Linked DNA regions of Stegostoma tigrinum. The protein of the gene in region 2 binds, or shares a complex with, the protein of the main gene of each other region. Links are inferred from orthologs where the notes say so. Each region holds a gene or a part of one and is shown on either strand. Other genes may lie near its edges. The genes, in order: pdcd6 and sec31a.

Evidence for each region.
Region 1: the proteins of sec31a (region 2) and pdcd6 are in contact, whole or in part, in a crystal structure (PDB 3WXA), measured with the Homo sapiens proteins. The link is inferred for Stegostoma tigrinum from reciprocal best matches to the Homo sapiens genes SEC31A and PDCD6. Residues at the interface, in NP_001070675.1 of Homo sapiens: Asn837, Pro838, Pro839, Pro840, Pro841, Gly842, Phe843, Ile844, Met845; in NP_037364.1 of Homo sapiens: Val31, Val35, Leu48, Ala51, Leu52, Ser53, Asn54, Gly55, Thr56, Trp57, Phe85, Trp89, Ile92, Gln96, Phe99, Phe148.

The regions. Positions count from the first base shown.
Region 1 is NC_081355.1:20,853,217-20,857,135, forward strand, and holds the start of pdcd6 (programmed cell death protein 6), read right to left. Parts: upstream 3,064-3,919; 5' UTR 2,859-3,063; coding exon 2,779-2,858; intron 1-2,778. Other genes in the region: pigm (GPI mannosyltransferase 1), read left to right, coding at 3,226-3,390. UniProt on the Homo sapiens protein: Calcium sensor that plays a key role in processes such as endoplasmic reticulum (ER)-Golgi vesicular transport, endosomal biogenesis or membrane repair.
Region 2 is NC_081354.1:77,616,110-77,620,028, reverse strand, and holds the start of sec31a (protein transport protein Sec31A), read right to left. Parts: upstream 2,557-3,919; 5' UTR 2,521-2,556; coding exon 2,250-2,520; intron 1-2,249. UniProt on the Homo sapiens protein: Component of the coat protein complex II (COPII) which promotes the formation of transport vesicles from the endoplasmic reticulum (ER).

The DNA.
Region 1 (3,919 bases), on a different chromosome or scaffold from region 2:
AGTGCTGCCAACTGTTTCTGCGTTACACTAAACTTCCGTATCAAGCTGTGCCACCCTTCCCCATGCGAATTCACTAAGAAACTACCTGGGGTTGGTTAGCTCAGTTGGATGGGTAGCTGGATTGCGATGCAGAGTGTCATCAAAAGTATGGGTTTGATCCGTGTACTGGCTGCAGTTACCATAAATGTCCAGCCTTCTCAACCTTGGCCCTTGTCTGCGTTGTGGTGATCCATGGGTTAAACTCACCAGTTGTCTCTCTAATAGGAAGATGGCAACTTTATTTTTGCCTCAAAAGCTACTTCGTTAGGATGCTAGAAAACTATAAGATTCTAAATTGATTACAACGAGACTAAAGTAGGTAAGGACCTAGACACAATCATTATCATGTAACAGGTAGTATTGGGTAAGCAAATGGCCAAAGATAGACAAGTCTCCTGGCTCTGATGGAATGCATCCAGGGTACTAAAAGCGATGGCAAGAGTAATAGCAAATGCACTTGGGGTAATTTGCCAAAATTTGCTGGACTCTGGGGCAGTTCCAGCAGATTGGCTATTTTCCAATGTGACGCCACTGTTTGAAAAAGAGGGTGGACAAAAGATGGGGAATTATAGGCCAGTTGGCTTAACTTCTGTAGTGGGAAAATACTTAAATCTATCAAGGAAGAAACAGTGAGACAACTAGATAGAAATTCCCCTAATGGGCAGATGCCACATACCTTCATTAAAGACTGGTCATGCTTGACTAATTTGCTGGAATTCTAAGAAGACATTGAGCTCAGTGGACAACAGGGGTCCAGTAAATGTTGTGTATCTGGATTTCCAAAAGGCATTCGAGAGGTTTGACACACCAAAGGCTGCTGCATAAGATAAAGACGCATGGCATTACAGGTAATGTATTAGCATGGATTGAGGATTGGTAAACTAACAGGAAGCAAAGAATGGGGATAAACAAGTGTTTTGCTGGTTGGCAAACAGTAACTAGCGGTGTGCCCCAGGGATCACTCCGAGGACCGCAACTGTTGATAACTTGGACTTGGGGACCACATGTAATGTGTGTCACTGCTTGCGATGACACTAACATGAATGGTACAGGAAGGTGTGCAGAGGACTCTGAAAATTTTTGGAGGGACACAGATAGTTTAAGTGAGTGGGCGAAGGTCCGGCAGATGAAAGCCAATGTTGATAAATGAGAAGTCATCCATTTTAGTAGGAGTAACAGTAAAAGAGACTATTATTTGAACAGTAAAAAGTTGCCACATTCTGCTGTGCAGAGGGACTTGTGTGCCCTTGTGCACGAATCACAGATGGTTGGTTTGCAAGAGATATTTCTGCCATCGCAAACTGATGAGGCCAAAACACTGACGGCTTTCAAGAAAGGTGTAGATTTAGTTTTTAGGGCTAAAGGGATCAAAGGATACAGGGAAAAAAACTGGAAAATGTACGAAGTTGATGATCAGTCATGATCATATTGAACAGCAACCAAAGGGCTGATTGACCTACTGATGCAACAATATTCTATGTTTCTATGTAAGCCTGCAACATGAACTGTAGCCAGCAATTAGAAATTTGTTCAGATACTAGTCTGTTATGCATTATCCAACTTCTGAATGCACCTATGGTTAGTAGCAGAGTAAAGCCTTTGATTCTCCAGCTTATACAGCATTTACAGCTGAGCTTTGAGGGAATATAATGTTACTAGTGGTAGAAATGCCTGGATGAGACAAAGTTGTTGTTTCTTTTAATTCCCCTGGAGAACATAAAAGATCCAGTGAGGTAGGAACAGAAGTAGAACAATACACCAGGTGTAGGGACCAGACTTTACCATTCAAAACTTTAACCAGTCACTTGGCTTATTGTGGTCTGGATATTTGTCAACAAATTGGTGGATGTGTTCTCCAAATAACAATGACAGCCATTCAAAAATAATTTGCTCCCTGTAAAGCAATCTGAACACTCAAAAGTTGTTACATTAAAGCAAGTGGTAAGACTCTGAAGGGTACTATGCAAATATCAGTACTGAGGGTCTGAAAGGTGCAGCATAAATGCCCATTCCGAGGGCGTAATGGGGACAGTACAAGTGACGCTGACAAAAGGAGTTGTTTGAACAGTCATCCCAGAGAGAATTCCACTAAGCCTCACCCCAGAGGAAGGAAACATTACCAGTAAAGGATGAAGTACCATCATAGTTAATGAAGTAATGTGGGAAAGGCAACAATTTTGCACACAAACTACGTGAAAACAAGCTCATTACCTTCAGTGACTTTAATTAAGAAGTCTTGTAGCAATACGAATTTCCCTCGTTATTCAGACAGTCAGTGCGCGAGGAACACTCTGGCAATCAGTCAAGGAGCCCGCTGGCCCTGTCACTTCACCCCTTGCTTCCAGGGTACCATGTGAGTGGGCTCAGGCCCTCCCCGGTGGGGGAGCGGGCTCAGTGTTTTCCCCCAAAGATGGGAGAGGAAGGAGAGAGAGAGAGAGAGAGAGAGAGAGAGAGAGAGAGAGAGAGAGAGAAACAAGACTTGAGGATGGTGAAGCCAGTTAGGGGAGTGTGGAGATAATGGGGTGGAGTAGGACAGAGGGCATATTGGAGAGGAGTAGCAGCATGGGGTGGGTGGTGGTTGTTGTGGAGAGGAATAAGAGTCTCTCCCATGATACTTCAACGCTCCGGACCATCTAAATCAATCAAGCTCGCTCTCTCTCTCGTCCGTCCGTCCGTCCGTCCGCCCGCCTGCCTCCCTCCCACACGTTCCGCGCCTCCCGTAATCAAGATGCCATGTACCTCTGGAAGACATTCCACAGGAAGCCTTGGTCGGGAAGGCCGTTGTTGGCCGGTTGCTGCGGCCGGTAGTGATACGCCATCGGAGACCGTTGTTGCCACGAGCTTGGTCTCAATAGCTTCCCCCGCTCGAACTATCTCGCTTCCGCCCGCATCACCTGACCCCGCCGCGCCCCTCCGCGTCCAGCCACGTGATAGTGAGCCGTCCCGCGATGGTTCCGTCTCAACTGCTTCGCGCTCCGTGGCGGTTGCGGTGATCTTTCAGACCTGCATGCATAAACATCCAGAATGGGATTTGAAAACCTCCGAGAGGACAGGGACCGACGGTTCGACCTCCTCAGATCAACCGCTTGCTGTTTCGCCACCGTTGCTGGGGTGACGTCCCCGTTAAAGTTCCTTGTAATTTTACATTGGCCGATGTAAATTTCCCCGCCCCCCCCCCCCCGATCAATGGGCCGAGCTTTGAACCCTGGGCGCGCTGCCCTGTTTGCAGTCGCTTTCTGCCTCCGCGTCGGCCTTGTCTTCTATGGGCTGCACCAGGACCGCTCCATGCCGGTCAAATACACCGATGTGGATTATCATGTCTTCACAGACGCCGCCAGGTTTGTCACTCAGGTAAACCGGATTGGGCGTGGAAAGTTCAATGGCGCAACTCTGGAGCTGTTGCGTCTTGAACCCGAATCCCCTTGCTGGCATACAGACCGAAAGAACTGCGGAAGCTGTAAATCCGAAACAGAATTTGCTGGAAAAGCTCAGCAGACCTGGCAGCATCTGTGAAGAGAAATCAGAGTTAACATTTCGGGTCCGGTGCCCCTTCCTCAGAACAGATGCTATCTAAGGAAATGGTAGACAAACAGGGGGTCCCTGGGGAGCGCTGCTGAACGAAGAGACCTAGAGGTGCAGTTCCTTGAAAGTGGAGTTGGCAGGTTAACAGGTTTGCGAAAGTGGCATGGCACCCTTGCATTCACTGGGCACAACATTGAGTCTAGGAATTTGAATGTCATGTCGCAACTGTACGTGAAATTGGCGAGGCCAGTTTTAAAATACTGCATTAAATTCTGGTCACCCTCCTATATGCAGGATGTTGCTCAACTTGAGAGGGCGCAGAATGGTTTTACAAGGGCTGCCAGGACTGGATGGTTTG
Region 2 (3,919 bases):
GCATAGTGTGAGAATTAGGGTCAGACCATTCAGGAGAGATGTCAGGAAGCACCTCTACACGCAAAGGGTGGTAGAGTTTTGGAACTCTCTCACACAAACAGCAGTGCATGCTGGATCAGTTGTTAACTTTATATCTGAGATAGATAAACTTTTGTTCAGCAAATATATTAAGGTAAATGGGGCAAAGGAGTTAGATATGGAGTTAGACTGCAGATCAATCTTGATCTCATTGAATGATGGAGCAGGCTGAGCAGCCTATTCCTGTTCCCGTGTTCATTTTGGAATTGAAATTTGGAAACAGTTGCACGTGCATGCACACACACAAACATACGTAAATAATATTGTAGGCGATTGGAATGTTCTCCCGCAAATGGCAAATGATGCTAGATAAGTGTAAATTTTGAATGTGAGGTTTCGAGATTTCTGATAACCAAGAATGTTAAGAGGATGGGACAAAGGTGGGTATATGGAGCTAAGGCACAGATCAGCCCTCGATCACACTGAATGCTGAAAGAAGCTGGACAGATTAAATATCTTAGTGTGATTCCTCATGTCCTGCGTTCCCCATATTAATGAATACAAGTAAAGATTAAAATTGTTCAATTACGGTAGGACCAATTATCACTTAGGAAAGAAGTACAATTGTGTTATACTTTCTTTGAAAAATAACAGCGGTCCTCTCAAACATACTTCTGATAAGTAAATTGACTGCTTTAAAAAGACAAGCCGATGGTGTACTTAGAAATGTTAATCCATGTGCTCAATTACTGGAGTGGGTCTCAAATAAACAATCTCTGACTCAAAATAAAAGTGCCATCAACAGGTCTAAGCACCAGCAGGTATAACCTCAAAGCTGCCAGTGATCTGTGATTTCTAATTCATCAATAAACAAACAATCAGATCCAAGCTGATAGAACTCCCATAGATACAGAAGTCTAAGAATGATCTTTGAAAGATTAGAACTAAAAACAGCATTATCTGTCTTAGTAATAAATGGTTAGCCCAAGACTCAATCAGAGGTACCAAGTTGGAAAGTCTTGGATGGAAGTCCAAGCTCTTTCCACCACTTATCCCCTTGCTCTCCAGCAATCAGTGAACCAGAGCTGACAAATGGATCAGAACACTTCAAATGTACTGTAGTAGGTCCAGTGTAAATATGCACACTTTTCTTCCTATGTCGTTGAGGCAAATGAGGAGATTTCAAGCAATTAAAATGTTGCTGTAAGTAACTTTCATTGAAATGAAACATGCAAAATGCCCTCTATCATGTTCTACTGCCGACCTGTCAAATCATCGCACTTATTTACCGTGGGCAAGAGAAACACTTTTTTAAGAGCTCCTTTCCCATATACTTTACAAGCGGGACAGCACTTCTTTGAAGCATGGTTGCTGTTGTGATGGAGGAGAAACAGCAACAATTTGTATACAGCAAGCTAATGATAACGCAGGTAACATTTTTTTTAATATGCTGACTGAAGGATAAACATTGGCGGAGGCACCAGGGGAATAAATCCCATGCTCTTCTTCAAAATAAAGCCATGATCTTTTGGGTCCACCCGAGAGCACAGACAGGACCTGGGCCTTTCATCTGATTTGAGAGACAGCACCTCTGACAGTGCAGCACCAGTCTCTGGAGTGGAGCTGGAGTCCAGTCTTTTGACTGAGAGGCGAGGTTGGCTGTGGCCTGACTCCAGGATTTGAGATGCAAAAGGTGCAAGTTTTGAACGTCTCCCCGCGCCCCACTGCATTTTCACGGCTGGTCAGAAATAGTGTTACTTGGAAAAAGGAAGGGAGAAGCCGGCCACGATCCATCGGTGATCGAAAAAGGTAGGAAATGGTGTGGAACAGTATTGACCAGGAAACCCCAGGATTGGAAAGAGGGGGAACTGGGCCGCCCTGACAGTGACAGTGAGGGGATACAATGTTTACACAAACAGTGTTTCAATGTAAACAGAAAGAAACACTGAAGCAGACAGACTGCGAGGATCGGGGAAAGCAGAAAGTTGGAACTGTCTACAATTTGTTTTTGAGAGAAACGAATGAAATTTCTGGGCCGGCCACCCAGACTCGAGTCAAATCAAACCCCATTTAAAAGTAACATCAACCTTCCCCCCCCCGCCAGCGGCCCTGCCGATCCCTACGCTTCCTCAGCCGGGAGAGATTTCACAGGAAGCCGGGGTCCGCGGGAGGAGCAAACCCACCCCCCGAGGGTTTCAGGCTCTCACGCCCGCCCCGAGCTCCCGGCTTACCTCCGGCTCTGCCTGTAGCTCCCGGTGCTTCAAGTCCACGTCTCCACCAACGTGGCAGCCGGAGCAGATTGGACCGACCCAGCTCCACTTCCGCTTCCTCGGAGTACAAAGTCCGCCCAGTATCAGGCGGTGAGAGGGAGAGCAGATCTTGTGGGTGAGACAGGACCTGAGGGAGAATGAAGAGACGCAGCAGCGCGAAGCACCCGCATGTCCCCTGGGCACACACGAGTGCAACCCACGGTAACAGAGGCACTGGGCTATACTTAACCATATCACAGTCATCGAGCAATCACACCGAGTACGTTCTGTACACTCCAAAAGGTGAACGGCTACATTTGAACAATTGCATGAGTGTCCAAAAGATGTCCTCAGCAACCTGAGATATCATCAACCTGCGTTGTTGACTGTCTCTCTCTCTCGCTTTACAGTTACTGCCTGATGTGCTGAGCATTTCTAACATTTTCTGTTTTGAAGTCGCCTTATGTATTTGAAAGCAGAAAGTGCTGGAGAAATCAGTGGTCTCGAAGCACCTGTGATGAGAAAAACACAGTTAATGGGTCGAGTCTATTGTGACTTTTAAGAACTGAAAGGAGTTGGAACATCTGGGGTGTTTTTATGTTGTAGACTGACGTGCAATCTGTTCCACTCAGTGCACTCCCCCTCTGTCCTCAACACAGAATATGCTATTTTCAACCACTTTGTTTTTAAACAGTCATAACTGACCCGAAACCTTAACTATTTTCTCCTCCACACGTGCAGCAAGACCTGCTGATTTTTCTCCAGCACCTTTTGTTTTTATTTTCAGATTTCCAGCGTCCAGAATATTTTGTTTTTTAATGAAAGGTGTTCTGCTGTCTCGCGTTGGCATTTTGCCCCTTGGTTCTGAAATGAATAAATAACCAGAAATAGTTCCTTGCATTGTTTCCCGACTTAAGTTGTAGTAGGTGTTCTCACGTTGCTCATTCATAATCTGGTTAAATACCACAGACCCAAAACATTTTGCTTTCACAGGAGCAGGCAATTCTCATCCCAGTCCTGATGGCCAATAAACTCTGGCAACGCCCACATCTAAGGAACATTCTTTTTTTAAAAAAACCGGGCAATGACATAAATATAAAATCGTCTCAATTCAGCACATTTAATTCTCATCAGTGAACCACAATGAAAAACAAATCAAGTTAACTACATATAACATAGAATTATTGTTTTAGAGCTTGCATTTTAAACTACTGGAAAATGGGTCTTAGCCTTTTGCATGTGTAGGTGTTTAATAATTAATTAGGCCAGTCTTTCAGAGCTATGACTTTAAAACCAGTGTGTCAGAAAGAGCAGAAACCGTTTTTGAAAAATTTTGAAAGACACAGTGAAACAGAATCCTATTTACTCCCCACCACCATCACTTTTTAGTACACAAAATCCAAACACATCTTCCTTCTCAGTCCAATCTTTGACAATTGCTTCTCAGTTTTGCTTCTGTGAGCCATGAAGATTTCTTACTTGAATCCTCACAGAATCCTCCACAGTGTGGACTAGGGTGGACAAGGTCAGAAATCACACGACGCCAGGTTAAACTCCAACAGGTTTTTTTGAAAACTCAAGCTTTCGGAGCCTCAGTCCTTCTTCAGGTGTTAGTCAACTATCTGAAATAATCTCCTTTTTGTGACGAGACA